Alligator mississippiensis: one gene and its partner. The protein of the gene in region 1 purifies or fractionates together with the protein of each later gene. This does not show direct contact. Links are inferred from orthologs where the notes say so. Each region holds a gene or a part of one and is shown on either strand. Other genes may lie near its edges.

What was found.
Region 2: the proteins of PAK2 (region 1) and GIT2 purify together in Homo sapiens (affinity purification with mass spectrometry; 3 studies listed by BioGRID and IntAct, with this or other methods). This does not show direct contact. The link is inferred for Alligator mississippiensis from reciprocal best matches to the Homo sapiens genes PAK2 and GIT2.

The regions. Positions count from the first base shown.
Region 1 is NC_081830.1:36,758,078-36,773,578, forward strand, and holds the start of PAK2 (serine/threonine-protein kinase PAK 2), read right to left. Parts: upstream 6,639-15,501; 5' UTR 6,559-6,638; intron 6,553-6,558; exon of another isoform or gene 6,459-6,552; intron 6,364-6,458; exon of another isoform or gene 6,276-6,363; intron 1-6,275. Other genes in the region: PIGX (phosphatidylinositol-glycan biosynthesis class X protein), read right to left, coding at 13,448-13,603. UniProt on the Homo sapiens protein: Serine/threonine protein kinase that plays a role in a variety of different signaling pathways including cytoskeleton regulation, cell motility, cell cycle progression, apoptosis or proliferation.
Region 2 is NC_081833.1:2,080,955-2,096,464, reverse strand, and holds the start of GIT2 (ARF GTPase-activating protein GIT2), read right to left. Parts: upstream 8,516-15,510; 5' UTR 8,455-8,515; coding exon 8,403-8,454; intron 2,885-8,402; coding exon 2,751-2,884; intron 1,211-2,750; coding exon 1,098-1,210; intron 1-1,097. Other genes in the region: ANKRD13A (ankyrin repeat domain-containing protein 13A), read left to right, coding at 9,420-9,515, 11,966-12,098, 12,291-12,415, 12,842-12,887, 13,661-13,804, 14,341-14,536. UniProt on the Homo sapiens protein: GTPase-activating protein for ADP ribosylation factor family members, including ARF1.

The DNA of each region.
Region 1 (15,501 bases):
AATTTCAGAAACATTTAAAGACTGCATAGTAATTTCAGAAACATTTAGAGACTGCATCACTAAAACATCAGCCAGCTGCCCTTATTCTTGCTCACTTCAGCAGTCATTGCAGGAGAAAAAGACTGTATTATATCAAAGTATATCTAACACCACAATATACTACTTTTTAAAATGTATTTCAGTCTGTCAAAAACACTTCCTGGTCCCCTACTTTGAGCCACATTTCATCAAAATTATTTAGATAAACCTGACAAATAAAACATTTGATCATACAATGAAATATTGAATATGCTTGCATGTACTTATTACTAGGATGACAGGCAATTTCAGAAAGCCCCAAGAAAAACAGAGATGCTAACTGTAGAATATTAACTCAATACTGTTTATCAAATGCCAGCCCACAAGTCACTAATAGAACATATCAGATTCTTCAAATAACCAACAAAATATCAAATCTGAAATATGCAACTGGTGGTCCAAACATCAAACCTGAAAGATCAGACCCATGTCTTCTGGCTTGCTTCAAAGCAAACATACCATCAATACCTTTCCCTTTCCAGAGGGGATCTCTAACTTGTGAATGGATTTAACCATTGTCATTCTATGAAGTCACATTACTATTGTTATGACATTAGGAGCCATAGCCAGAACCACTGAAGTGGTGATCTCAATGTACCAGGCAATGTACAAACATGTAAGTCACAGACCATATCCCACAAGGCTTACATTAGACAAGCCAAGTACTAAGGGAAACAGGGAGAGAGAAGAAAGCTGGCTTATCAAATGCCACAGACGTAACAAAGGCTCCCAAGTCCCTGCCGTGCCCTATTTCTTCAACTACAGTAAGACCAAGGTATTTTTTCCCATTAATTGCCATCACTTGTATTTCAGATTGGCATTGAACACCAGCAGCACCATTGAACACTCTGCATTTGCTTCACCAGGTTCCCAGACCCTGTACCTGTAATAAGTATAAAATATATCTTACGACAGAAGTAGACGCAGAAAAAGAACACGGTTGACTTCATTAACTCATGGACGTAAGAACTGCTCCGATTCAAGAATCAAACGTAACAACAGTTTGTTGGCAACAGGCAACTGCTAATTTTCCAGGACAATATAATATATTTCAATAACAAGCCAATACCTCCCATTCAAGTATGTAACCCTGAGTAAACCTGCCTCCGCAAAAGAAAAGTTGGCAGGCCCTGTAGCTAAATTCAACCATAAACTATAAATGATCTTCTGGAATAAAATACCTGAAAGGGAGGAAAGCATTTATCTATACCCATTCATGACAAGCATGCTTTAAAATGTATTTTGTGACAAGAAACAATGAGAGACTCCCAAGCTACTCTCTTTTCAATCAAATCCCTTCAAGCACAGTTCTGCCCCGATGTTAATAAGTAGCAAGCTAATTGGTTTTAAAAACTGAAAATCTGGGCATCAACAACAGAACAACATAGTTACCAAGTCCTTCATTTATCCCATTTGTTAGCCTCCAATGGCAAACTAACTCCAATTAGATCCATTTTTTAAAGGAGAAAATGGTCTATTTACTAACACAACCCTGGGAAATACATAATAGGTTATCCACATAGGTGAACTGGTTACAATGCTTCTAAGCACTGTAATAGGTAACTAGCAGTTTAAATAGTGTGTTTTTCTCCATGAACCTGAAAATGCTTTATAAAGGTAATTAAACGCATTTACTTTGAAAGGAGCTTCAATATTCCACCCTACCTCTGACAAGCAGCCCATCTGCTTGGTCTAAAAAGACTTTAAGAGGCGTTTATTCCAGGGAGGGTGACAAATCGGGGCCAGTAAAGAGTATGTACAGGTTGGCCCGAACACCTGGGCCTCACGGACATGGTCCTGGGCTCACGGCCTGCAAGGCCTGCCCGTACATTCTAGACTAAAAACCATAGTGAGCAAAAGGACTATTGGTCTAAAAAGAAAAAGGAAGCCTAGCCATCAATTGATGCAGAATTTTTTCAATAAAGTTCATAGCTCTAACAGTTGCAAAGTGGGAGTGTAAATATTGTTTAAAAAATTATCCCTTTTACCACCTCCAATGAACTATTGGTTAACCATTTAACCAACAAGTGACCTCCAGCAGGAATAGCCCCAGCCCCTTATGCCAAGCCACTGGCAGGGAGCTAAGGGCAGAAGTCAGCGGGCACAGCGGAGCCACTAGGGGCCACTGCCCAGCTGCAGAGCCACAGCCTATCCTCACCCCCCTGAGCAGGAACTCTCCTATGCCCAGATTCCACCGCCACAGGGAGGGAGGTGCCCCCAAAAGGGGCCAGGTAGGGTCTTCCCAACACAGCAGTAAGACTCCTGGCCCCATGGTGGGTCTGTCCAGCCCCCCTGCAGTAGTGAAGCCCAGGTAGGGCAACGGGTTCCTTGAACCTCCTACCGCTGTGCCCCAGACTTGGAAGGCTCCTCCGTGCTGACAAGCCAGGCTCTCCCCAGCTTTCCCTGGAGGAGGGGGGTCCAGTCCCAGTGGGGCAGCCTTCACCAAGTGTGCTGTATTCTTCCTTCTGGGGAGGGCCTGGCCCCACATCTCTGAGGAGCCTTCTTTGTCCAGTCTGCAGTGATGGGAGCTACTGGGAGCCCATTGCCTTGCCCAGGTCCTGCTGCTGCAGGGGGGGGCGGCAGAACCACCATGGGACCAGGAGTCTCTGTTAATTATACAGTACTGCTTTCTGGGAACACAAGTACAAGCATTAGTCAGAGGAGAAGAGGAACCAAGAGGACTGAGGAGGGGAAGGAGTACTGAAGACTTAATCCCCTCCCCCAGCCTCTACAGGAAGGGTACAGAAGCAGAAGTATACTTGCAACAAGATGCCTCAGAGGTGCTGGTGAGACAGGAAGTTTCTTCCTCAGCAGCAAGAGGTGATACTTGCCAGAAGCCAATACAAAATATGGAGAACACCAGCATGGTTTATAAAAGAGACTCCTAGCAAGAATCCCACTAACTTCTCCCTCTTCAACGGGAAAAGACAAGTACAATAGTGCTGCTCGGAAACCTTGCTGGTAGGGACCCCCATCTTTGTATCAGCCTTTGGCAAGGAAGTGTGAAATTTTAAAGGCTAGATGATAAACCCACTGCCCAGCTGGAAGGACAAAGAAAGGATTTGTATAAGGATATAACAGGTCAGATGAACAGCTGGGAACAGCAGTCACATCTCCCCATGACAGGCTACACAAGTATAAACTGAATACAGGCAGCAAAGGGACCAATCAGCATCTAGTTAGACTAGCATAATTAAGACTTGCTATGAAACTTTGCTTTAAGATATCAACCTTGAGCAATGTAAAGTCTTAAAGTTAAAAACTTAAAGGCTTAAAGATCAGTGCCACTCAATAAGGCAATGATCCAATCTTCAACTAGTTCACTGACTGAACTAATCTCATTTTAATGTCAGAACCTTTAGCACATCCTACTACTTTAACTAACATGCAAGAATTAAGCATGCTTTCTTTTCATCATACAACAGATACAACCGACCCCACCCATACACACTTAAGTATTATGAGTCCTTCACTCTGTAACGTTTGCACTGGCAATTTTTATTTGCAATTTATCAGCTACCCTTGTTTATTGCACAGTAATATCTTCCAGACTCCACCAGACAACCACAGATTTGTTCTTGAGAATCCAACTCAGCTTACATTTCCAAGAAATGCCTTCTAGTTAAAATGGGAAAGGTTCAAAAGGACAGTCAGCTTTCTGTATTCTTTTGGAACCACCCTGTTGGTCCAAAGTGAGTCTGTTTTCACACGGAAAAAGATGATTGAAATTGTTCACAGTAAGTTTCTAGACTGAATGAACTCTTGAATAAAAAGCCTGACAAGTGCCTCTCAATTTGTTTTTTCCCCTACTAGAACTGTCAACAGTATATTTAATTGACCTTAAAATATTTGTACAGTGCTGATCCAGTCATTGGCACTTGACAAGACATGTATAACTATAGTTATATGACTTCATATTTTACAGAACTCTGAAATACCTTGGAAGGAACCTGTCAGAGGGGCTTGGAACAATCCTCAGCCATGCATTTCTCAATGAATGTGTCCAAACTATAAATCAATCTATCTAGACATTGCTCCACACAGCATCTGAGTCATCCTACAAAACAGCCTTTGCAAAAACTTGTTTACACACCTGAACTATTTCTTACAAACTTCCTCCACTCCTCACAGGGGTCTGAGCTGCTAATGAATATTAAGGATCTTTGACTTATGCCAGGGACCTCTCTTCTACACCAGCTCCATGCCCTGCTATCCTTCTTTTTTTCTCCCTACCTGTCCATTTCAATCAGACAAGACTATTTATAAGGTGCTGCTTGGGTCCCAGCCCAAGACCCCAACAGCTGGCATCTTCACACAAGTAACTACTGGACCAGGTTCTTCATTTGACATGGCCCTACAGCGAACTTTCTACCCAAAAAGTGACGATGAAGGCAGAGATGAAAGAAAATGAGAAGGGAATGAGGCCAAACCAAACCAAAAATATCTCTAAGTCAGACCTGTGCAACCTCTCATACCCCTAAATAAATGACTGGCAGTAGCTAGGACCATACCTGTCATCTTCAATATTTACAAAGAAGTATTTTAAATGCACGTGTTTAAAAAAAAGCATATTATTTAAGGACTGACATTTTAAACAGAGCAAAAGTCTACTTTTTTTAAGGTAAGGATTCAGTCAGTGCCATAAAGCTTAATATTGCCATACATGGTCAAAGCACTAGTCTATGTAATTCACTCTCCCATTTCCTACAGAGAAAATACCACCTGTTCCAGAGGAAAAAACTCCCCAGAAGGGCATTTGCAAGATAACTGCATGTGTGCAGTTTCCTCCCAGCCAATCAGCTTCTAATCACTGTGGGTTAGCACTGCACAGAACAGCAAGCAGTTACAATACCAAGACTTCTGACGTGGTTCTGCCTTAGCACCCAAGATGTATTAGCTGACACTTGCACACTCAGGATATTATTCATTAAACCAACCAAGCTTCTTAACAAGCAAGCCTACACGTAGCCTAGCTCAGAGTTAAGAAGCCACAGAGAACATAACCTGCTGTTTCACAAGTGCATCCAAAAAAAATGAAATACTCAAGTACAATACACTTTTCCTTCCTCTAAAAACAGGGCTGCCAAACATGACCCATGAAGCTGTTCTACCCAGCCCTCTGGGCCACCAGAAAATGGGGATGTGGCTAGGGGGAATGGCCCGCTGCAGAACCTGGGGCACTTGCCCGTGGTGAACTTGGTGATGAAGCAGCAGGAGGCTGGACTAGGGCAGATACGGCCTCCTTACTCCTCCAACCACTTTGCTGTTCAGCACTGCTGCATGCCCCAGATCAGAGCTGGAGCTGCCACCTTTGCAGGGGGCATGGAGCAGCATCAGTGGGGGAAGCAACCCCAGCTCTAGAATGGGGCGTGTGTCAGGAGCTGGAGCTGCTGCTGCCATGGGCCCCAGGTCAGAGCCAGAACTACTGGCACTGTGTACCCCAGGCTAGATCTGGCCTGCAAGGAGCCCCACAGCCTGGATCCAGCCCAGAGCACAGGGGAGTTTGACACCCCTCCTCTAAAACAAGAGGGAGAGCTTTTTAATTAACCTTTAAAGACTTTACTCATGCACAACTCAAGAAGAGTAGCTCTGGGGTTTCTGCACTGCCCTCCTCAATCAGTCATGCTAGGCTGCGACAGAGGAATGACAGCCCTTCTAGCCCTAGGGAAGGGGTCAGCACCATTGTCTGGCAGCGCCAAAATGACCCAGTACAGGTGAAGCACTGGCCACCCTGCAGCAACAGCCGGGCACGGCCCCGCCACCCAGGCCCCTGCTCGGCAGGCAGCTCTGCCCCACGGCTAGCACCTGCTCTATCACATCACCCAGATCTGAGGCCAAGTTCAATTCTCTGCTCCACGAGTGAAATAACTTCCGCGGCAGCTCAGCCTTAAGCAAGCACCCCTGCCCCGCGCGGGAAGCCAGGCAAGGACTGCAGCCCACAGCGGGAGCCGTTCAGCCCAGACTTTCTCCTCCGTCACAAACTCCTCCCTCCCCTGCCCTGCCCTGGCCCGGCGGCCAGGCAACAAGAGCAGCCCCGGGCTCCACGCAGCGCTGGGCCGGGCAGTGGGGCAGGACAGACACACGGACCCGGCCGGCGCCCCGCAGTCGAAAGGAAGCAGAGCGGGAAGAGGGCGGCGGCGGCGGCCCGGCAGCGGCCCCAGCTCTGGGGAGCCGTCCCACGCGTGTCCCGCCCGCACCTGCTGCAGCCATGCACACGCGGGCACCCCGGGGGGCTTCGCTCCACAGCCCCCCGGCGCCCCCGCTTTGTCCCGGTGCGGGAGCGCCCCGCCCCCCCGCAGGCCGTTGGTCGCACACGTGACTTCCCCTCCCTCCCCCCCCGGACAGGGGCGCGGGCAGGTGGGAGCCCCCCGCCGACTCACCGGCAGCGCCCGGGGCTCCCGCCTCCGGGAGGCCGCCGAGGGGGCGCTGGGGCGGGTCGGGGCGGGAACCTGCTACAATGGCGGCGGCGGCGGGACCCACCGAGGCGGCGGCGGCCGGAGGGGGAAGCGGAACCGCCGCGCGTGGCCACAGCCCGGGAGGGGAAGGGGCGGGGCCGGCCGTGCGTCACCAGCGGAATGGGAGGAACTACGGTTCCCGACGTGCTGTGGGGCGCGAGAAGCCTACAACTCCCAGCGTGCACCGCGCGGGGGGGGGGGGAGAAGCAGGGGGCGCGAGGCCTGCTGGGGACTGGAGCCGGCAACTTTTGTCAGGTGACCGCGGTCCCAAGCGGCGGGAGCCCTCCCCCGTGACGTCACGAGGCCCGTGCTGCACCGGGCCCCACTGCCCGGGGGTCTGCACGCTTGGGCACGCCCGCACCCCTTCTGAAGGCTGAGCCATGGCCAGAGGATCATGGGCCTTATTGACGACCAAAAACGGCAATTTTCCCGTAGGAACGAGAATAAGTGTCAGAGCCTAACTCGGCCGGGGTTTCTGGTACACGGAAGCCCGGGATTCCCTGCCGGGGGGAAGGGGCAGCACTTCTCTCCCTGGCTTCGGGGCAGAGAGAAGGAGAAGACAGGCAGGGATTCACACAGGCCCCCAAAGGGCAAAATCATTACTACCGTCCCCCCATAGCAGGCCCTGCTAGCATCAGGCGAGGGCACGCAAGTTGCAAGGGTGCAAATCAAGCACCCGCAGTGACTAACGAGCCAGAGGAAGCAGCCAGCTGGTGATTGCACAGCACCCTACCAGCAGCTGGCAATTTGGGGTCCAGTGATTCCCACCCAGGGGCGACCAGCGATTCTCTCCCGTCAAGGGTGCCACATAACGTTAGCACCGCTAGATGTGGAAACTGGTTCATCAGATATCCCCAGCTAGGAGGGAGCCATGGTGTTAAAACCACTGTCACCCATTGTGGGCTTTGAGTTCTTTGCAAGAGAAGAACTGCTCCGCTTCTGCAGTCAGAAAACAAGTGCAAACTAAGCTGGCATTTTCCAAGGGGTGCCACGAGCCGAAAAGGGTTGAGAAGCCCTGTCAGAGACCTGTAGAGAGCTGACAGAGAGAGGTAGAGATGAAGGGGGAGCTCTCCTCATCTAAACTTGTGTCTAAAACCAATGACTTCTGCCTTCCTGAATTTCCTTTGAAACTGGATAGGTTTCCTCAATACTTACTTTGTTGATTCAAAAGCATTTACGCACTGTCTCCTTGGAATCCAGGCGTCTCTCTGAAATAAAAGACATGAGTGAGGTCATTTATTCTGGGTTTGTGACAGTTATGAAAGGATGTCTGGAGCACCAGGTGGTCACATTTCAAATTCCTGCAGATACACTTCACTCATCCTGCTTCTTGCCCTTAAGGTTTTGGAAGGAGCCAGTTCCTCTGTCACCATTGCTGAAGGCTTAACCCTTGCATTGCCCGTTAGGGCCTTGTGGTGCCTCAAGTGTGTAGACAACTGCTGGGCAGCTCACAGCTTAGTTTTCCATTCCTCTCTAAAGCAACTAAAGGGTCTTGGGGGAGAGTGGAGGCTCAAACACTGAAAATGGCAGCAGTGTACCTGTTGCCATCCTCCACTACTCATGGGGTAAATCACCACATCTTCCTACTGCCTTTATGTGGCAACAGAAGCAGCAACAACCATTTAGTCAGCAACCTACTGGTCAATCATGACTTGGCCAGAACCTGAATATGACCTCCCAGCCCACCCATGATTTGTAGGCCCATAAACCATGACAGGAGCCTGACTCCAGAGATTTTAACTGCACAGGTCTAGAAGCACTAAGTCTGCTTTATGTTTAGCTGACTTCCAGGACAGCTTTGAACAGCAGAGAGCACAACACTACTCAACACCACTATTCCTTCTTCCCGTTTCCCAAATTCCAAAGCAGCTGCCTTATTACTCCTTCACAAGTTGCCAGCAGATCAGGGGAAGTGATTATTCCCCTCTAATCAACACTGGTGAGGCCATATCTGAACTACTGTGTTCAGCTTTGTCTCCTCTCCCCTACAAAAAGGATGTGCACAAATTAGTCCAGCAGGAAACAACAAAAATGGCTAGAGGGCTGGAGCACATGATTTATGAGGAAAGGCTGAGGGAACTGGTTTTATTTAATCTGGAGAAGAGAAGACTGAGAGGGGATCTAATAGCAGCCTTTGACTACCTGAAAGTGCTTCCAAAGAGGATGGAGCTGGACTGTTCTCAGTGGTAGCAGATGACAGAACAAGGAAGGTCTCAAGTTGCAGCAAGGGAAGTCTAGGTTAGATATTAGGAAAAACTCTCTCACTAGGAAGGTAATAAAGCACTGGAACAGACTACCCAAAAAGGTTGTGGAATGTCCATCCTTAGGTTTTTAAGACTTGGCTAGACAAATTCTTGCCTGGGGATGGTCCTGCTTTGAGCAGGGGGTTGGACTAGATGACCTCCTATCATCCCTTCCAACCTTAATTTTCTATGATTTTATGATATGGCAGTCACCACAGTTCTCCAGGTATCAGTCATAATGGGAAACACTGGCACATTAGACATGCACAAAAACAAGAACTCCATTTAACTTAAAGACAGCCTTTTTTATGAAGGCACAGGTCAACAACCTATGGCCCATGAGTTGGATCCAACCCAGAGTCATTTTATCGAGTCATAGAGGTAGTATTCTGTAGCATTCCAGCACCCAAGGAGGCTTAGCCCATGCTGTGGACAGGTGGTGGGGAGAAACATCAGGGAGAAATGGTGGCAGAGGCATCTGGGTTGGAAGTGCTGGCCTGCCTCTGACTCAAAATGAGTTTTGGCCTGCTGCTTTTAAAGTGCCACGGACTGCTTTACTAAGGGAATATTTAAGAGTTCAGACATTTGGGGTGCATCCACACATGCAGACATGCATGCTTGCACCAGCTCAAATAGGACTGGCACAAATTTGAGCCGGGGATTTTTGCCTCGGTGCACGTGCCCAAACAAGCACTTTGGTGTGGGGCAAGTTGTGGCACTTGGGGCAAAATAACCCTGCCCAGCTCCTTCTGGATCTGCAGCCAGCACAGAAGCGACCCAGCGCAATGGCGCATGGGGCCCGTGCCCGCAGGACCCGGTCCAGTGCGACAGGCAGTCCCCATGAGTGGCATGGGGCCCCAGTTGACAGCCCAAGCAGTCCCAAACTGCCCAAAAGCGCACAGCACCAAGCTAGGCCACGCTCACGTGATATGGCAGAGGCAGTGTGGATGCCAGGCGGCCAGGGACAAGCAGCACTGCCCCTACTGCCCCACACCATGTGGGGAGGTTGTGCCACGAGGCTTCCAGCGCACCCGATCACCACTGCTGCTGCTAGTAAGCTGCAGGGGGGCTGGGGCTGGGCAGGGGACACGTGAGCCCTGTGGGGGGCAGGCGGGAGACCCACCCCTCCCGAGCTGCCCCTCAATGGTCCCTCGCACCCTCAATAGTCCCCCCCCCGCTCCTTTAGGCCCCCACACCCCCTACTTACCTGGAACATAGCCCGGATCCAGGTCACAGCAGCCTGCACCGCTGTTTGCCTTGCACTCTGGCTGGCTATCAGAGCATCTCTGTGGAAGAGCCAAGCTTTCAGTTGCCTGCCCCACTTTTTTCCCCCCAGGGTATTTTTTGATACCTGGATCTACATGTATCAAATTCTGACCCTGCACTGCAAATATGCAGTGCAGGAAATTTTTTTTGGTCCCAGCGTGCCTCTTGCATCATCTCAAACTGATTTGGGACACTGCGACAGGCACATGCACACTGAGCTGGATGCATCCTTGGAATCCAAAATGCTACCATTATTAGTATTGTCCCCTGGCTACTAAACTTGCTTAAACCTTCTAAAGATTAACCCTAATACTAATACCATGTTGTTAATTCCATAATTAAATTCCCATCTCTGCTAGAAATTCAGAAATAAAAAAGCCTTTTTGCTAAGAAAAGCAGAAGTGCTCCATTTCTCTCGGACTAAACATTGAAATAATTGCCATAACCATTAGAAAAGCTAAGAAGTATATCCAGCTGCATGCTACATATGCACCAATAAACCAGGATCTAACTAAACTGCAGTCAGGGGAGGATCCAGGGGGCATGGGGAGTGAGTGCAGTGGTGCAGTTGCACTCCCCTTTGATTTCTTCTCCATTCAAACTTTAAGACAAACTGCATAGGAGAGAGGGCAGAATTTCTGTTCAGGCAGTACTGAGGGAGTCAAATGACTTCATGGCTCACTACAATGTACCTGATTCCTACTAATCTATCTTCACTCCACAAGCATTAGTGAACCTCTTTCCTTTTAAATGGTCTTGATTTCCATTAATCAAGTTATCCTTCCCTCTGCAATTTTGCTGTCTTTTAATTGTTCATGGTAATCTTTCTCTTCTATTTCATATGCCTGCAGACCATTTTTAGTTCTAGCTAAAACCCTTAAGTCAGACATAGAAATATTGCTTAGGCGAACATTAACTCAGGTGTGGAAATTACTGACAATGAAGTGTTGGCTAAACTATCAAGATGCTCAAGGCTACGTTTTGTTTAACAAATCTAAATAAGATGTACAATTAATTATAATGACTGCAAGACTACTAAAACAGAATTTTTGGACTATTTTGGCTTAGCTCATCTTGTTTTTTAAACTTAATATATAAGCTTGCATATTAGTATATATTCTAAAAATGTTATATTTGTTTTTGCTTTAATCTAGCTTTAATATAGCACTGGGTCTGCAGCACATTAGTAAATCTTTTAGTTTCTCTTTAACTGGAAAAAATACATGTTGTGTTCAAAGTGATGCTGAACCACACCACCTGAACCACCCTTTTCAAAATCCTAGATCTGCCTATCACTGTAAGTATGCCTAAATACTAGTTATTCATTTCATACAAACCATCAGCTTAAGGACAACAATGACTTTCACCTATGCAACTCATTGAAAGCAAAAAAGGCAGTCCCTCCTAGTTCAGTTTATAATCATGGACTCCATTCTACAGTCTTAGTACACTGTCATTACTTAAATGTCTCAACTATATGCTCCTTAAGTTTTACCACTCAAGGTATTTTTTTTCCGTTCTTCCAGAAACTGACCCATTTGTTTTCATTGCATGATGCTATCAGGCAGACTGACCCATTTAAAATGGTTCAGACTGAGATTTATCAGACATTAATGTGATTTTGAAAAAACAAAAGGAAGAAACATTTAAAAGAGAACCATCTGCCAAAGCTGGGCAGTATTTCATGATGGCACAAGTCCAAGGATCAGTCTGCAATATAAACCACATGTGTGGATAGAAAATAGCACAAAAACACACTCAAATTTGGAAATTAAAAAATAAACAACCAAGGACAAATTAAACAATAGCTCAGAGCTGATTTTATCCCAGTCCAGCTGCTCAGATATGATTATCAGTTTCCCTTGCCAGCCACGGTTTTGCCAACCACAGTTTTGAGTATCCACACTTAATATTCTATATACCATTTTGGCTACCATGGTATACAGTTTTGAGTAACCACGGTTTTCCATGCCCACGCATCAGCCTGCCACCTGCCATTTCAAACAACCCGCGCTCTTGCTAGCCACTTGTGGCGCTCCCATCTCCTCACTCACACAGTCTCGCATTGTGCTTCACACTATTAACCATCCAGTTGCAGGTACTCTGCATTTGTCTTCCAATTTCTTTGAGATTTTTGCATTTTGCCCTTAATCATGGCCTCTAAGCAAGTGAGTGGTGAAGGTGAGCAATTTGTGAAGAGAGCAAGGAAAGTGATGTCCTTGGAAACAAAAGGAGTTGTTGAATCATCTAGCACATGTAGAGAGTCTGGCGAATATAAACAATGATTTTTATACATTGTATGTTCCTTTATTATTCATATTCAAGTCCCATACCCTATTTTTCCCATAACCCTTTTGTCTTACCAACCACGTTTTGCTATCCATGGAAACTTTTAGGAGCCTAACTCCCTCAGTTGGTGAGGGAAACCTGTAAATAGGTAACAAAGTCTATCTGCAATTCTTTTCTTTAACTTCTCCCTTTCCCCAAACAGATGCAAAAGGAGTTGTGAACTGAGGTAGTGCATGAAGTAGACACAGCCATCATCATCCAGCACTGAATTGAGGGAGAACAAGAAACCAGGGTTGGAGCACTTGTCAACCTGCAGTAGGAGAAGTCACAAGACGAGCTCTTTGAGTTTCAGCAGAAGATGAAGAATGATGCCCATGAGATCCTGAGGCTGTAGCTGTGGAAGATAATGAAAGGCTGATTTGGCTAATGAGATGACCATGTTGGTCAAATACAGGCCACACAAAGAAATATGACAAACAGAAGCTGAAGGCAGGGACTTTCTCTTTTTATTACATGTGTAATTTTATAAAAAGAACTACCTAGATTTAATAACCTTTTGCCATACAGGAAATAGAAGACTTCCCCACAATCATATTGTATGCTCACAATGCCCCCTACTGTCAAATAAAGCACAGAGCAGACATTTCTATTAACCTGGAGCCATTCAGTTTTTCCACCAATGAAGCAATTTCCTCTCTCTGTTTCCTGATATTTCTCAACAGTTCTAATGACTTCCCTCCAGTCTTCCGAACATTTGTTTCCAAGTCAGTACTGTTTCACTAGCTTTGAGAGTTATTCATCCGTCTTCTAATTCACACCATAAATATCTTGACATCTCTTCCAAATTTTTAATGCCAATTTCAAGTCACCTAAATGCAACTAACAGCATTCAATGTTCTATCAAACAGGGGTCAATTGTGTTTCACCCATGTAGAAATTCTTTCTTGTTCTATGGGTCTAGATCAAAAGAGCCATGATCTCAGAACGGACTTTAGGCACAACCATAACACAAACAAACAACAGTAAACTACACTCCACATATAGAGACTTTAATAGGAAACCAATACTCACTCTCAATCCATATGGCTTCATACAATAAGGCCATGTTTGGTTTCACTATGAGCAGTTCACCAGGAAGAAGTGACCATGTTTGCATACGGCTGCAAGAACCAGACTCAAACACAAGACTGTGGTAAGAAGTGTCACTGCACATACTAAGGAACTGTGTTGCTTGAGTCCCACTGGAACCTGCAGAATCAGTTCCTTATTTACCTATGAAGAGACAGGTGGGTGTTAAACCTATATAATCGTTACATTTTAACTGCTTCATATTTTCATTAGGTGTTATTTAAACAAGCATCATACTTGTTCATTCCATGCTTCTGAACAACCTCTGCTTCATTTAACAGCTCTGCTTGCTCAGGTTCTGTCACTAGTCATTTCAAAGGTTTTGCCTCTCCCCTGGTATTGAAATCCAGAAAGCAAACCTGAGAAGGCTGTTTCCCTACTTGCAGAGGTGCACCCCAAGAATCCCCCAGCAAAGGATTCCCTGGACACATGCATCATGTTGCCACATCCCATCTTAAGACAATGGGCAACATCTGTGTCACCCAATAAAGCAAGCCAGTTGTGTCAGGATGCATCTCAGCACAGCTGATCCCATTCCAAGGACAATGTCTGTTTAGAGCCTAAAGGAATAAGCTTATGGAATGAAAGCTCAGCTATCGGAGACCAGTAAAGGGAAAAAAAAAAGGAAGGTGTGTTCTTTTTTCACTTTTTATGATGCAGGAGAGCCTGAAAGACCTTTTAGCAAGAACAGTAATCATTTAAGACATGCCAAGAAGTCTTCCAACAAAACCAAAGAGCAAAGTTTGACATTCCTATTATTTCCCTGTTAAAAAGGGAGAGACTTCTTTTCCAAATAAAGTACAAGCCATAAAAAGATGCAAACTCTTTACCTTCTTCAAATTCTTTACTGATCACAGCCAGATTTCCTGAATACAACAAGTGTTTAAATCAGTGGTCTCAACCTTTTGGCCCACAGGACAGATGAAAGGGCCATAGCTGGTATGCATGACAGATGCAGCCCCACAGACACTGCCCCTCTGAGACTGGACCCCAGAGGGCCTGGCAACACCCCTTCCTGCTTGGATGGGACCCTGGGGGACACAGCACTGCCCCCTTCCAGCCTGGCAAACTAGGATTGAGCCCGAGAGGGCCTGGCACCACCCTCTTCCACTAGGATTGGGCCCCAGAAGCCTTGGCACCCTCCCCTCCCACTCCCACATGCCAGGATGGGGCCCTGGCACTGCCCCTCCAGCTGCCATCTGCCAGGATTGGACCCCACGGGCCTGGTGCCGCCTCCTCCTCCTCCTAGCCCCCGCACTGGGATTGGGCCCTGGGGCCCAACAGCAGTCCTGCACACTGGGATCAGGCAGCTGATTCAACATGCAGGGTCTGGGACTCCCCATGGGTCTGAAAACTCAGCAAACAAGGGAGCAGTGTCATTGCTCCCCCACTGCCAAATTTGTACCTGTGGGGAACCTCGCACACCAAATGACATGGTGCCATGGGCCAGATCTGCCCTGCAGGCTGGGGGCTGAACAGCCCTGTTTTAAATTACTGATCAGGATGTGTCTCAGTTCACATTTTCTACAGTACTCCAGCCCTGCTGAGTCTCAAAGTCCCAGGTGGCTAGGGCTCATATCTAGACCTTGATAAAGGTGTAATAAAGAGAAATACATCATCCTCAGAGACATAGTTTATAAGGAGATATCCACATAGGCATGTATGGCTTTTCTCAGAGGTCATTTTCCCTGCAGTTGTTCAGACAAGGCATCAACCCAAGTACATTAACTATCTTCTACTCATTCCTCAAACTATTAGCAAAATCTTCATGCACACCAACAATTGTTGCATCCTTAGCTCCAAGTAAAGCACCACTAAAGCATCAGCAACAATGGCAGATTCCAACAAAGGATTCAGCACAAAGTCACTGAAATATATATACAGAAGTGGCAACAATCACCAAGGAAGAGTAAAGGGAAGTCTCCAGGCATTACAGCAAGTTGGGCATGAGTGGATTTCAACCCTCATCCCAACTCCCCAACTCCACTGTTGCCAGGAGTCCAAAATATACTAGACACTATTAAGAACACACGTCAGCAGGT
Region 2 (15,510 bases), on another chromosome or scaffold:
AATAAGAAAAATATTTTTTTCTTCAAAGCCAAAGTGATAAAATTAGCAATTAAAAAAAGCAGCTCTCTATTTAAAAGCACTTTTCCCTTAAAAATGAATGTTTAAAATAAGTACATTTAAAATTAAATTTAATAATTATGGCAACCTATTTTAAAACTGCTGAAGCTCTAATGCTCAAACCACCACAGTAGTGGAAGTTCCTGGCTAAAACACTGGGAACAAGTTTGCTGAAGTATTAAACCAGCTTTGACAACAATAGTTTCTTATGCGGATGCAGAAACTTTTTCTTCAGTTTAGTTTTTCAAGCAGTTCCTGTTCCATTCAAAGTTTAGAAAATCATCTGGGAGCTAAAAAAAAGGAGGAAATCATATTTTTCCTTTTCTAGTTTATGAATAAAAAGCAGACGCGAGCAGATGACCTCTCAGTTCTAAAATCTGGAGATCAGTTCTAAAAAATAAAGTAACATTATTTTCAGTTATACTTTTAAACTTAGCACCTGTCCCAAAAGGTTTGGAACACCCTGAACATCTGATTTCATTCTGAGCTGTAAGTGCTTAATACCATTCAGATGAAACTGTTAAACTAATATACAAAATTATATTTAAAAAAACCCCTACTTTTTAAATTACATAGCTGACATTCTGTAAATACTGATTGATAAAAGGAGAGCAGAAGATGGTTGTGGCATGAAATATGGTTTGTTTTTTTTAAAGGCACTACTCAACTTATGACAGATGGATACTGTTAAGGCATGCCTAAGAATGAAAAGATTCTTCACTCATATGTGAACATTCACTTCAAGGTTTAGGTTGCAAAAGCTTTGAAAGATGCTTTAGAATTAAATATGTTTAAACCACATTGCTCACAGCAAAGTTGATTATTTGATCATCAAGGTTTAAAGATCAATGACTAAGAGAAGACGGAACTTCTTCAGACCTGTTCATATAACAACACTTTCAACCATATTTAAAAACTGAAACAAGATCAGCTTCACTTGCCCTTTTGCCACCTTTGTCACAGCTGGTCAAAAATAACTGCATTTTTCCAAAACGTCTCCTGCAACTATAAAGAGAATTTTATAAAAATATTCAACTTACTGGACTTTATCCTGTGGGTTAGCTTTGCGCCTTCCACTCATAACAGATGCTGGGTCTAGCAAAGAATGTTCCCATATGGAGTTAGCACCATTATTATACAGTGTTTCAACCATCTGAAATTCAAAACATGTACAACAAGCATTAAGTATTTTTACTGCTACTTGCACAGACAGGATAACCAAGACCACACAAATTTCCCAGTACTTTGCCAGTACACTTCCAGTGCAGGCATGCTATCAGCAATATCTTATTTTTAAACCTATTAATTGAAAAACTCTTGGCATTCTTTAGGGAAAAAAAGATGAACAGGATCACGTGAACAGACCAGAAGAGTAACAGATTTGTCCAGTTCTGTGCTAACGTCTATGACTAAAGGGAATGTCAGGAGTGGCTCCTTTGCATTCACAAGTAAGAAGCCCTTCCTTCAAAGGCCAGAGATAACAGGCTGTGCACATGAACTTAGATTTTCTCCAGACAAAATTGCTGAAATCAACACATTTTTCCAAAACGTTTTATTCTGGCAGAAACAACATTTTTAATTTAAAAAATAGACCACAGAATTCCTGATCTGCAGACTCCAAACCGCTACAATATGCATGCTGTAGAAAAGTGGTAAATTCCATATATTTAACCACCTGCTAATCAGGCTACAGACCACAGCCAAACTGTCTGGATTAATAGTGTATGGGTGGGGTTAGGGTCAAGGTAAGTTTAAACTAAAAGAACAAAGCTGCATCTGTTAAAGTGCTGGTAAAGGATCTTTTAGGATATATAAGACAGAAGCAGTGAGAAAGCAGAAATGAAAACAGAAAGCCTAGAATTAGATCCTCCCCCCACAGCAGTGAAGATTTATGCTCTTGCCAACAGTAGCTTTGGGGAAGAGGAAGGGTTGCTGCATGTTGATAACTTGCACTGAAACACCTGCAGTAATCTAAAATGGCTTGAAAGCTACTCGCTAAACCAAGAGAATTTTAACTGTGCTTCAGACTTTCCATTTATCCTAGATGCAAGTCAAGAATTTCACAGGTAACATTTACTTTAGTAATGCACTACATGGGGTGTTAAACTCACTCTGGGCCTGGAACCAAATCAACTACACAGCTCCTTCCAGGGCCAAATCAGGAGGCTGCGTTCAGGTAGCAGCATGGGTCTGGTCTGTGGCAGTGTGGATCCAGGACCATGGGACTGCAGGCAGCTGCATTTGGGCAGTGCTGAGCCAGGGGCTTGAGGAGACACAAAATCTGGCCAAAGGCAGCTCCATACCAGTGCACATCCCTGGCTCCATGCAGATGCCCAGCCGAAGCTCTGTGCTGCTGCGTACTCTCAACTCCACGCTACTGCACACCTCAGGCACTTGCAATGTGCTAGTTCAGCACTGCTGCTCGAATGCCTGAGGCTGGCAACATTGCCAGGGGTTCACAACTGTGCAGAGCTGAAGGCATGCAATTCTGTAGCCTGCTGGACTACCAGTGGGCTGGATGCAACAGTTCTGCAGACCGGAATCAACCCACAGGCCTTGTCTGACACCCCTGCACTACAGGAAAGGTAACAGAAACCAAGCATCTTTTAAAAAAAAGCTTAAGGGAGCAACCATCCTCCCAAGAAAGTTTAGTTATTACAGAATTCTCTAAAATAGCAAGTCTCATCCTTTACCTGCAGCAACGTTGGAGGCCATGGTGTGTGTTTGAGATGCCTCACTTGTGAGATATGACGCCCCAGGCTCCGATGCACGCTACAGCACTCATCACAAATTAAAATCCCCCGGTTTATTGATGCCCAACAAGGGTCTGGAAAAGAGTTACACATGTTATAACACGGAGACAAACAAGTTCAATGGTAAAATGCTACTCCTGGTTTTCTAATTTATTTGCTATATGAACTTGGGCAAATCACAACCTTCGCAGACCTCAAGATGTTGGAGGAAGAATGGGTCTTGTATGTAAAGCGCTATATTGGGTTTCAGGAGATCTGGGTTTTATTTCAGCCTGCCACACACTTAAGACCTTGAAGAAAACCACTCTGTGGCCTCAGTTGCTCATTTGTAAATAGGACCCCCTGTCTTCCTCATATCAGATCCATTGTAAGGCTAAAACTAAGCAGTTCCCAGATACTGCTGTGATGAGTTCCAAAGAAATGCCAGTAAAGAGCAAATTCCTACCCTGCTATCACAGGAAACTATATCACATAATTCCCTTAATACACTTAACAAGTTCCTTAAAACCAACCAGATTTCTTGCCTTATTATTCCTACTAGACAGCTACTGCTGCAAACCATTTGCAAATTGTTCACTCTTATAATTGAACATATTCAGCTATCACTCAATACTGGCCACTTGGTCACCCCTGGTTGAGCAAATAACCCTCACAATTCATGGCACAAGTAGATTTTAGTAGAGATTTGGAAAAAAAAATCCTACTGAAAACTGGTAATTTAGAAAATGCTATCTATGAATGAAAAGTAGCGTTAATGAAAGCAGGCAGACATTTTTGGTAGAAGTTGTCAAGTATTCATCAAAGCTTTGCATCAGTGGCAGAGGAAAGGAGTGATTTAAAAACTGAACCTGATGCAGTGGAACCAGAACGAAAGTGGAAGGATTCAAACAGGGGACTGTCATGGTAGCACAAATGAGCCAAGGCGACGTTCTTTGCAACTGATGAGTGTTGGAAAGGTCAGACAGGAAATGGACACAATCACTAATACATGGACCTACTTATGGGCCCAAATAAGAGCTTGAGAGGACTGAAGTGTTAGGTCTGGAAGTTTTTGGAAGGAAGCATCAGGATTTTCACAAACCTGGATGTGCCAGGACCAGGAAGATGGAGGAGTGGGAGAAACACTACAGGTAAAAGGCCTGAATCACTAGTAAAAGGGGAATTGATAGCATGTGCTGAGAAAAGAAATGGTTAAGAATTTAATTTGCCTTAGGAGTTACTGGATTAACTAAAGGTGTTACTTCAAACAGATATAGTTAAAAATCACACACAAAAAAGAAGCGCTGCCTTTTAAATTCAATTTAAACACAGTTTATACAAGTTATCTTAAGCTTGGGGGACAGCAAGTCCCAGGCAGGCCACAGATAAGAGGTGGAGATGTCAACTTACACTAAACAGATAAGTGAGGTTTAAATTGATTTAAGTGTCTACACCATGTCTTGCTCTCATTTAACAAACCTGTTTGGGGTTTTTTCCCCTCATTTAATTTACAAACAGCCTTGAACAACTTTAAAATTCTTTTGATTAAACACTGGATATAGACAAGTTTAAATTGATGGCAAGATATTAAGGAAGATACAGTGGGGGAAGAGAGGGCAAGACAAGTTCTGCTATGCTTTCAGTAGCACTAGAGAAGAATTCAAAACAGGAAGTAAGACATGATCAAGACAAACTTGCTAGTTGTTATCAACAGACTTTGAAAAGTGAATCGTACGATTATACAGAATGCAAAGTGTGCTGATAAAGGACACAGCATCGCCTCATGTCAAAACGAACAAGTAGGGATGGAGTGTTTTGTGGCCACGATTAGCCAAGAGATATGCAAGAAGCAAGGTTTTTTGGGTGATAGCTTTAATTAGATTAACTGTACAAACTTGTATACAGCTGGTTCAATAAAAGATATCACCAAAAACATTTGCTTTTTGCCGTACAAATGTAAGATATTATTTTGAGGGGTTTATAAGGCATGAGTGAACAATTATTTGTCAAAACTAAACAAAGGAAAAATGGGCCAGGGAAAAAACAAACTGCTGTACAGAAATTCAAGCAATACTGTGGTAGTGATAAGTCCCTCTATGTTCAATACATTTAAGCAGCGTAAAAGCAGCTTTACAATAGAATTAGGATAGGACTGATAACATGGGACATATGGTTGTGACATTAATTACTGGGTAAGAAGAAGGGTAGAGTTGTGGATATATCAACTCTGGAATCTTCATTTATGATGCTAAGAAACTGAATACAGTAAATCCTATTTTCCAGAGTCTTTATCACCTAAGGAAAATGGAGATTAACCCAGGGGAAGAAGGTGGGCATCCATTTGTTTTTACAAAACTTTTGAGTATTCAGTGTTTACCTGTATAATATAATCTTGTAATTTATTTTGGTGTTACATCTGTCACACCATTGATCTTGAAAGAAGCACAGCACAACACAAAACACAGAGCATGAACTGCATAAACCTGAGAAAGATGATTTATAAGCTGGGGTAGAAAAGATTATTATGAGTAGATATAAATGAAAGAATGACAAATATATCTGAAGTTTAAAAAGAGAGCGTGCCTTCTGGCATTCTAAAAATCGTTTTTAAATAAAGTTTTCAGAGTTTCCCCAGTTAGTCATTTGGACCAGTCTTCTGACTTATGTGCATAGCTTTACCCATTTGAGTTGTTTTATTAAAGTTAACAGGACTGCCCAAAGTACAGCTACACATGTACATAATTACTTGCAGGACTGAGGCCTAGAAGTATTTCTAAATATTCCAAAAGCCAGCTCAGCTAAGGTGACTTGAAGTCAGCATCACTAGTCTAGTGCAGGAATCCTCTCCAGCAAAACCAAGAAGAAACTGACTAATCTAATGTCCCTATTCAAACCTCAATGAAATGTAACATACACCACAACAGAATCAACTCATTTAAAAATTGAGACTCTTCAGTTTTAACAATTCCTTTTGCTATTAATGTCACTGAATATGTTAATTTTATCTTGCTGATGCCCCTTAAATAAAAAGTACTCAACTATGTAAAACACCACAGCGCTAAAATTAAGCAGATGTCATCAACCTGCGACTAATGAAATCCAGAAATCCAAGCATAAATTCAATAATTGTAAACTGCAAGTTGTGTTAAAGGGCAACAGCTGTCAATAAATTCTTTGTTCCTGGATGCAAATTCAGTGTTTATCCAGTTTGCAAAGCAAACGTCTCATTCCAATAAAGGATGGAATTGCTGGTGGAATATTCGGATTTTATAGAAATTAGATTCATGTTTAAAAGGAAATTCAACAAATCTCATTGTCATTTCTAAGCTCACTATCAGAGGGGTAACTCTACGAATAATCTCTTGCTATGCTAAATACCAATACTTCTGCGCTGGATGTTATTTTAGGCCATCTCACTTGCTGGAACACAACTCTCCTCTGTGCTTGCTCAGCCTTCAAGTCTATAGGTCACTAACACACAAAATGAGATACAGCCCACACTTGTTTTAAAGGGACAGTGAACAATACTTAGCACTCTTAAAATTAGTGGACCCCTCAATTGGAGCTACAGGGAATATTGCTGGAACTCACATTTTCTGATATTTTGAAGCAGAAATTAGGACTATGTATTAGACTCTGGAAACCTTGTCAATAAACCTGACTAAGGGATCAGCTTATTAAAACACTGCCCTACATTATTTCTTTTCTAACTAGTGTAGGAGAGACACCATGACAGAACACTGCCAACAAGCTCCTGACCACGCTGAACCTCCATCCTATGAATGCTGAAATTCACCTCCAACAAAGCCCACAGGATTCTGGCCTTTTTTCTTACAGTTTGACAACTCACAGATGGCTTATCATGCCAGTCATGTATTTAACTGAGTTGTCTAGAAGTGAAACTCTCTTGAGCCAGTACTGACACACAGGAAAGTGCAAAAAGGAAGCACAAAAAACAAAAAGTAAGATTACAATTCTAAAATTCTTCCATGTTAATACTATAAACATTTTAAACACAGGTATGGGAATGCACTGAAAAGGGGGACTTATCTGGACAGCATCCTTATAAGAGGAGTCACAGAATTAATTGTGCCATGATTGTTTAAACGGTTTGGTAAATTCCACTTATATCCATATTAGATAAGTGCAAAACTCCTTTAAGCGTATAACATGATGCCAGTCTTAACATTCATCCTAGCGCTTGTATTGCAACAAGCACTTAACATCACTTATCTGCACAGGTCAGCACAAGCAGCACTTATCTGTATACGGATAGATGTGTAAACCCACCAAAGTCCACAGGAACTCTTCAGCGTTGCTGTCTGTTTTGACCTGGGACTGCGTTTCCTTTCCTGGCATCACTGAACTGGGAGTCACCAATTCCCAGGCCTCTTCTTCTCTCCTATCCTTCATTTCCCCCTTTACACATCATTAATGTGGCCGAGCCACACAACTGCTTTATCACTGACGCTTCCCAGGTCCTCATCCTGGTGTGCGGGCGCGCTACACACGGGAGGAGTGGGTCAGCAGATTCACATATTGGACTATCCTTTAAACCAGTGGTTCTTAACCTTTTTTGTACCAGGACCCATTTGTCAACGTCGACGGTCAATTCTGACCCAGTACCTCTGGGGCAGGGAGTGGGTGTGTGGGGCACGTGGGTCCACAAGCAGCCCTCCGCAGCCTGCGAGGGAAAAGCCAAAGCTTCCCACATTTTTCCCCTTTAAAGGAGAATCCATTTTAAAAGTTTGCATGCAACCCTTTCGTATATTCTTGCGACCCAAGCCAAACTTATAAGGCGCGGCTCCGGAGCAAATCCCGTTTCATTTAATCCACAAGTTGCGGGGCAGCTCGTACGCGGGCTGAGGACGATTCTCCTCTCCAGCGCTTTGATCTCATCCCGCTTACCGTGGTGTTGCTCAAGCGCCCCTAGGCCGCTGCGTGCGTTGCACGTGCCCGTTTTGGGTGTTTACGCCTCACGCGGCTGCGTTTCTTAGCGATTTGTATAGGGCGCGCTCACTCTCTGCTGTCAATTGGACGCTCTTTTAATTGCCGTTTGACTTCTAGAGTCTCTCAGACGCTATATAAAGTGCGCGCGGTACAGCCTCCACCCCGATGCTGTTTTAATTGCCGTTTGCCCTGCACGCTCTCGCTAAACACGACACAAAACGTGCGTGTATAGCCTCCACACTGGGAACACTCCTTTAATGAGCGTTTTACTTCCATATTCGCACTCAGCGCTGTATCAAGCGTGCGTGGTGTCGCCTGCACACGGTCCGTGCTCTTGTACTTGCATTTTCTCACGGCGCGCACACCTCGGCCGGGCCCTGCCGCCGCGCCCGGGCTGCGAGCTGTCGCGGGGCAGTGGCTCCTGGACCCCGAGTCTGGGCAAGCGCCCCCGTCCCCCCGCCACGAGCGCGGGTGCAGGGCAAGCCCGGGAGCACCGTGCTTGGGCCGTTAAGATGAAGGCGTGGTTGTGTTTGTTTCGGTGAGAAGGCAGGTGAAGCGTCCCCCAGGTGTGCGGGCGCGGGCCCCCCCGCTGCAGGCCGCGCTTGCCTGAGGGGAGCTGAGGGAAACCCACCTCCCGGCACTTGCACCACCCCCCGCGCCTACCCTGAGCGCTGCAGTCGGCGCACACCTCGCTGCTCCTCAGCCGCTTCGACATGCCGGCGCGGGCGGGTGGCGGGCGCGGGGTAGGGGGGGCTGGGGCCGCTTCCTGCCGCCCTCACGGGGCCCGGCCAGCAACAGGCCGCACTGCGCAGGCGCACACCAGCGCCGCCATTCAGCAAGCCGCTGGGGCCGGTGCGCGCGCGCGTAGGGCAGGGAGGTGCTCGTCACGTGACAAGTGGAGGGAAGGGAGTGAGGCGACTCAGGAGCCATCTTAGCTCCTGGCACCCGCGTAAGTGGGGCAGGGGGAAAACCGCGGCTGCCCTCACCCAAGATGGCCGCCGAGGCGCTTGGGCGAGAAGGGCCGCCCGGCCCTTATTCAAAGAGGCTGTTAGGAACTTGCCCTCACCCAAAATGGCGGCGCCGGCCACCCGGAAGTCTTAGAAAGGCGGAAGTAGCCGATGAAACCGACGCTTGGGTGCGGGCGCGGGTGGGGAAGCGGCTTCCGCCGCGGGCAGTTCCCTTGGGGAAGTACAGCAGGGTGACGAGCTGCCTCCCTCCCTCCCTCCGCCCGCGGGCAGCGCCGAGCACTGATTCCTCTTTCCCTTGTGGAGTGGAGTGCAGTGCGGGGCCGGCTATGGCAGCCGACGAGGGCCCCTCGCCGCGGGGCCCGCTGATTCGTTCCGGCCCCTGCCCGGGAGAGGAAAGTTAGACGGGGACAGGCGGAGGAGGGGGCTGGGGGAGCCCCGGGGGGGGGTGTCTCTGGGGGTCCCTGAGACGGGGGGGGGGGAGGTTTGAGGGTGCCTGAGGCAGGGGGAGGGTGCCTGAAGTGTGTGTGTGTGTGTGTGGGGGGGGGGGGGTCTCTGAGGGTGCCTGAGGTGTGGGGGTGCTGAGGCTGAGGGGCCTGGGTGCGTGTGTTTGGGGAGGTGAGTGCAAGCAGGGTGTCTGCCCCCCCTCCCCCCGGCCAGGGCTGGGGGTGCCAAGCAGGGGAGAGCAGGGCCCTCGGGAGCGCCAGGCAGCAGGATGAGTTCGCCGGGCAAAGCCAGCAGCAAGTACCCGCTGCACGTCTTGGTGTGGAATAACGACTACCGGCGGCTGGATGCGGAGCTACGCGAGCAGGTAACGAGCGTCCCGTGACGCACCCTCCCCGGGGACGCGGCCGGGTAGCGTAGCGATGCGTGGGACCGTCGGGCTGTTGGGGCTGCCGACGCACTATCGGTGATGAGAAGGGGCCGTTACGGGCAGGCACCGAGAATATGTCTGCAGAGATATCGCCGAACTTGTTAAATGCCGTCTGCTGATCTTGGGTGGGGAGGGTTGGGCTTGGACCCGGAGCCAAAAAACACACAGATGCGATGGGCCTTAATGCTGTCTGCTGAGAGAGGGCCACCGCAAGCCGTGCGCGGCGACCGGTCTGCCGGGACCTGAGCAAAACTTTTTTTTTCTCGGCATGGCGTGCCCGGGCAACCAGTAGCTCACTGAAAACTGCTGCTGTTTTCCTCGCACGCTCTTGAATCGTTCTCTGCCCTCCTCTCCACTGATGGATGCTATGATTTTTGTTTTGCAAAGTCAGTCCTTGCAGGTTAGAATACAAACGTCCCTTTTTCAAGCGTAGTTCTTTGAGCTTTCCAGGTGGAGACTTAGGGTCTCAATAGCTGAGTATGTTTGCTCCGGTGACAAAACGTACGTGATCGTCTTAAACCACCCAAATCTGGTAGGGCAGGTGTAAAGTGGGCACACTATTAGCATTAAAATACAGACAGAAATGGGTTCGAAATCTGTATCGGAGCCCAAGCAGTTGAAATGATCCAGTTGTTGAGTTCAGATATTGCCATTACTGAATTCCAGTGCAGCTCCAAATACTGAGATATACTTTATTAATACACAGCTAAACAGCTGGGATTTGTGGCACGGGGCACCAGTTGGCAGACACATAGCCTGTTAATTGTATTGTTCCTGATACAGTGGGTCCATGCACCGAGTGTCAGACAGTGTCACCTTGTGATGCTAATTAGGATGATTGTCTGCACTTTGCTGGTGCATTCTGAAATGCTAATATTTGTGTAAAGCTTGCTTAGGTCGTCTTTTTTTCTTCTTTCTTTGAGTGACTCTTTAGGATGCTGTGTACTGTATCTCTAATTCTTATAATCTTCAGTCTGTCTGCAATATTTCTTTTACTGACACATTGGTTAGGGTGCTCGTTTCTTTATGTTTAAATCTTTATTAAAATAATGTTACCGTCTTTTAAACAGTTGTACCTTAACTGGGAATATTTTAGCGCTAGTTTATTCTGGTGATTTGCATCGTTGTAATTATGGCAATGCAAGCAGGTCCAGCTTCCTGCCCCCAGTGCTCTACAGCGCAAGTAAATGGACTACATTTAAAGGAAGGGAAAGAATACATGCACTAAGCTTGAAGTGTCTTCTTTAAATCAAAGATGTCACTTCTGCATCCTCTGTTCAAACTGCTTCTTGTATGGGACAGATGTGCTGTGTGTGGCAGAGGTATTGAAGGAAACTCTAGCCAGCCTCATGAAATGACTAATGCAATGCACAGTTCCAGGTTAACAGCAGAAGAGAAATGAAGATAACTGATCCAGAATCCTTGTTTTCACTGCATTAGGCACTACAGCTTGGAGAAACTGAGTGAAGATCGCAAGGGCTGCTGTACTTAATCACAGCAGCGAGAGATGAGGATGCTGTAATTCAAACTTTCCTTACTCTTCGATCTTGGTGTTTCAGACTTAATGCTGTCAGATAACCATTTCAATTTGCATAATATTCCTATCTTATTCCACTATTGACTTTTCCCCTTTTCCTTTAGTTATAGATCTTCTTCTGTTTCAGATCTCTAAAGCTAGTAGTGAAAAATAGAAGTAAGGTATGAGTATGTTGTGCTTGCATGTTTTGGGTATTTATGCCTCATGTGGTTGCATTTCTTAGTGATTTGTATAGAATGCACTCACTCTCCATTGTCCTGTGTGTCTCAGTCAAACTGATGCTCTTTTAATTGCCATTTTACTTCCATATTCTCACTAAATGCTATACAAAACGTGCATTGTATAGCCTATCACTCACTTCTGTGATTTTTGGCTGATTTAATGTTTTGTATGTCATGATACCCTCTAGTGGCCACTTTAACTGGTGACTAAATAAATCAAAGTTACAAAGTACAGAGAATGGAACCCTGCCATTTCCTGAAAAAATTGTGCCTGCAGATCAGGAGGGGGGAGGAACCTCATATAGAGCTGGCTGCTTTCTCTGCCTCCCAACACCCCCTTTTCCTCTTACTCCCAATCACTTTTAAAAGAGTCCAGTCCTATTCCAATTGGATTTCTGTGAAAGCCAGGCTTGTAAGAGGACAATTAGGCAATTCAACAGGGGTATCAAAGCAAGTCATATAAGATAAAGTGACTGCAAACCATGAATGGTTCTGTAAGAATACATAATGCATACTGACCCATTGTAGCTTATCGCTGAAAAGCTTTGTATTATCTGTCCTTGGTGTCTTCTGGTGATGGGGTTTGATTGAATGGTCTCAGCATCATTTACCTCTTGGTTGTTCAACAGGATGTTGATCAACGGGATCCACGAGGCCGGACCTTGCTGCACCTTGCTGTTTCCTTGGGATACATAGAGTCTGCCAAAGTCCTCCTTCGACACAAGGCAGATGTTACCAAAGAGAATGCCCAGGGATGGACTGGTAAGAGATTAGATTGCAAGTGGAAATTGTCTGTTAATAACCTTTGCGTTAAACCCAGCACCTCTGAAATCTGGCCCTGTGTGTGTCGTCATGGACGTTGCATGGCTTGTCTGCAACATGCGTGTTGTAGGCGTTCTGCTTTTTGGCTAAAAACAAAAAATGCACCCACCTCCGTGTTTGGGCTTCTTTCAGTTTTGCATGAGGCTGTCAGCACAGGAGACCCAGAAATGGTACACATGATTCTGCAGCATCGGGACTACCAGCAAACCTCAATGACACTTGGAGGGGTTCCCGAATTACTCCAAAAGATTAATGAGGTAAATATTTAATGAAACCTGAGTTGCAGGCTGGTCAAGTGCCCTTTTGGGAGCTGCTAGTTTGGTGTCAGTTAACTTAAATCAGCTTGGGGATCGGAATCAATTGATCTTAAGTCAGGATGATGGGCTATTCAATTCAAAATTACCTCTCCATTAACTCCATGTAAATCCGTAGTAACTTAATTAAGATGGGTACAGTGGAAAAGTGTTAAACTATTGCAGGACAATGTCTTGTTGTATGCCACCTTATTTTGATTAAATGTACTGGTAAGTTTTATCTGGGTAAATGTCACTGTGGGTGTTGTCAGTGACATCTCAGCCTCAAATGTTTCTTCTTTCTTAAATGTATATGACAAGTCAGAGCTAAATACTGAGTTAATATTCTCTCCATTTTTGGCTTATTTGAAACACCCATTTTTATGCTAGACTCCTGACTTCTACGTGGAAATGAAATGGGAATTCACTAGTTGGGGTAAGTGTCTTCTACAACCTCTCTTACCTCTTGTAACCAGTAGAAATGCATGCGAGTTTCAGACTTGTTGAAGTAAAAAAGTAGGTTTGCAAAGAAAATATGTATGTAGAACCTTTACTTTCTTCCTTTCTCTCAAAGTTTGTTAAGCATGAAAGATTTCCAGCCTATTTTTCCTGCTATATAAGCTGTTAGATCTTTGTTAATGCCTTTTTTTTTTTAATTGAACCCTATGGCACTTATGTTGGTGGTTGCTGAAGCTTTTCTAAGGATTTAGCTGTCCCAGTGCTTCGTCATACATAAGGTGATGAGGCAAAACTTATGTGGTGGTGCCAACCAATTTAGGAAGCAGTTTATTCCTTCCCGTTGCAAAACTGATTATGTGCATTATGGGTGACTTCTCTTTCTTCCCAACCACTGAGTATTCACCATTGCTGGACAGAGGACAAAAAAATAGCTACAATTAATTATTTTATTTAGTGTCTCATGTCTTGCCATGTTCACCATAAGTGGGGAATCAATTCTGATAGTTCCTCTGTTCTTTGTTTAGGTATCAAAAAACAAACTAAACCAAGAAAGACAGAGGTTCATAGCTCTTGGGACTGAAAGGGATCATTTTGATGATCTACTTTGACCTCTTGTGTAATGCAAGCCATAAAATTTCTTTAAGGAATTCCTGGATCAAGACTAGAACTTCTGGTTTGAGTTTGATCCTCCTACTCCTTTCTTTTCTGCTAAGGAATTTTACATTTGAATCTCTGTCTTTTTCTTTATAGTCCCACTGGTTTCCAGAGTATGTCCAAGTGATATCTGCCGCATCTGGAAAAGTGGTGCCAAGCTTCGAGTTGATATCACGTTATTAGGCTTTGAAAATATGAGTTGGGAACGAGGAAAACGTAGTTTAATTTTCAAGGGAGAAGGTGAGTATTTTTAGCCTGTCTCATTTATTGACTGTCAGACAGCATGAGGCCTACAATATTTTTCAGAGTACATGTTATAATGCTCAGCTTTATTTTCACATCTTTCACAGACTTCTTCATGCTGAGAAGTGCTCCATCTGGCATTTCAAGTTTCTAAGCAGAACAGAAGGGCTGAATTTTCCTTCACAAATTCTTCTGGAGCAAATATAGGAAATCAGATTAAAACTTAACTTTAGAACCACAGAAATAAGCATTCAGCTACATTATAGATAGATATATATATTTCCCAAATGTATTAGGGTCTTTTAATTCTACTTTTCAAATTACTCTTAAAAATGACTTGGCCACCTACATAATCTGCTCATCCATCCTTACTAAGATCATAGTGGTACTTAAACAAATCTATCACTTGTCCCAGACAAATGCAAACCTGACAAAGTTTCCTTTGTCCTCACTTTCATCCCTTGTGTGAGTCCTGGATACCTCTTTACTGAAAGTTTGTAAAATCTAGTCAATTATATCTATTCTTTCAACAGATACTGGAGGCTGGGCAGAGCTAATTGAGATAAACCATGATGATAAGGTTGTCACAACAGAGCGTTTTGAAATCTCCCAACAAATGAAGCGTTTGACATTGGGCTCTATGACTCCAAAAAGGAAGGATGTGGAAAGACGCCTTACATCTCCTATTATTAATACTTGCCTTGATACAAAAAACATTGCTTTTGAAAGGTAAGATATTTAAGCTTTTCTTAATGAACAAATCCTCCACCTATGCAGGATTATGCTTGCAGTATAACTTTAAAAAAAGAATCTTGTAATAGATTATCTTGGAAGTAACCTAGAATAATACCCTAAACTGCATATTCCATTCTGTAGAGAATGAGCTGAAAATCATAACATTTACTTCTGGCCTTGCAAACGGTTTCCATTTGGTGAAGAGTCCTTTTGCACTGTAACACTTGCATTTCTACATTAATGGGGCCAGTTTTAATATCTTCTGGTTTCAGAAATATACACTTAATTGCCAACACAGCAAGAACGAACCATATGTGCAGTGCTGACGCTAGTTCACAGTCTGTGGGCTGACGTTGAGGATCCAATAATAAAGTTTACAGCTTCAGTTTTGACTTTGAGCTTGATTGATTTTTAGCTTAGTCCTATGTAAATGATAGTAATAACTGTACTAATACTGATAGAGAAGATACTAGTTTGATAGTAGAAGCACAGGAGCTACTTCAGTGCTGCACCTTTTTGGAGTGTTATGGGGTATGACAATACACTTAAGTATTGCTGTGGGAACATTGATTAACTTCAAGGCAAAAGTATTTATTAAAACATGGTGCAGAATTACAGCCAGTGTGAAAGATCAGCTGTCAAAGCTCATTGCTTCATTCTATTGGATGTGTGAAGATTTTCTTCCTTGAGTGCTACTTGGGGAATAAAATTAAAACAAAAAAGCCTCCAAATCCTAAGTCCTGCTAAAAGCCAGTGAATTTTAGACACGCCAACATTTACATTGTTTGTGAAAACCACCCTAAAGCTTACTGACAGCAATCAGCCTGGCTTCCCAGTTTCCAGCTGCAAGTTGCCAGATAAAATTAAGCTAGCATTGACTCTGACAGTTGTTCAGTGGTTCAGGAGAGGATGTGATGCTATCCAGAAACTCCAGTTCCTTGTGGCTCGAGCTTTCCTGTTACAATCAG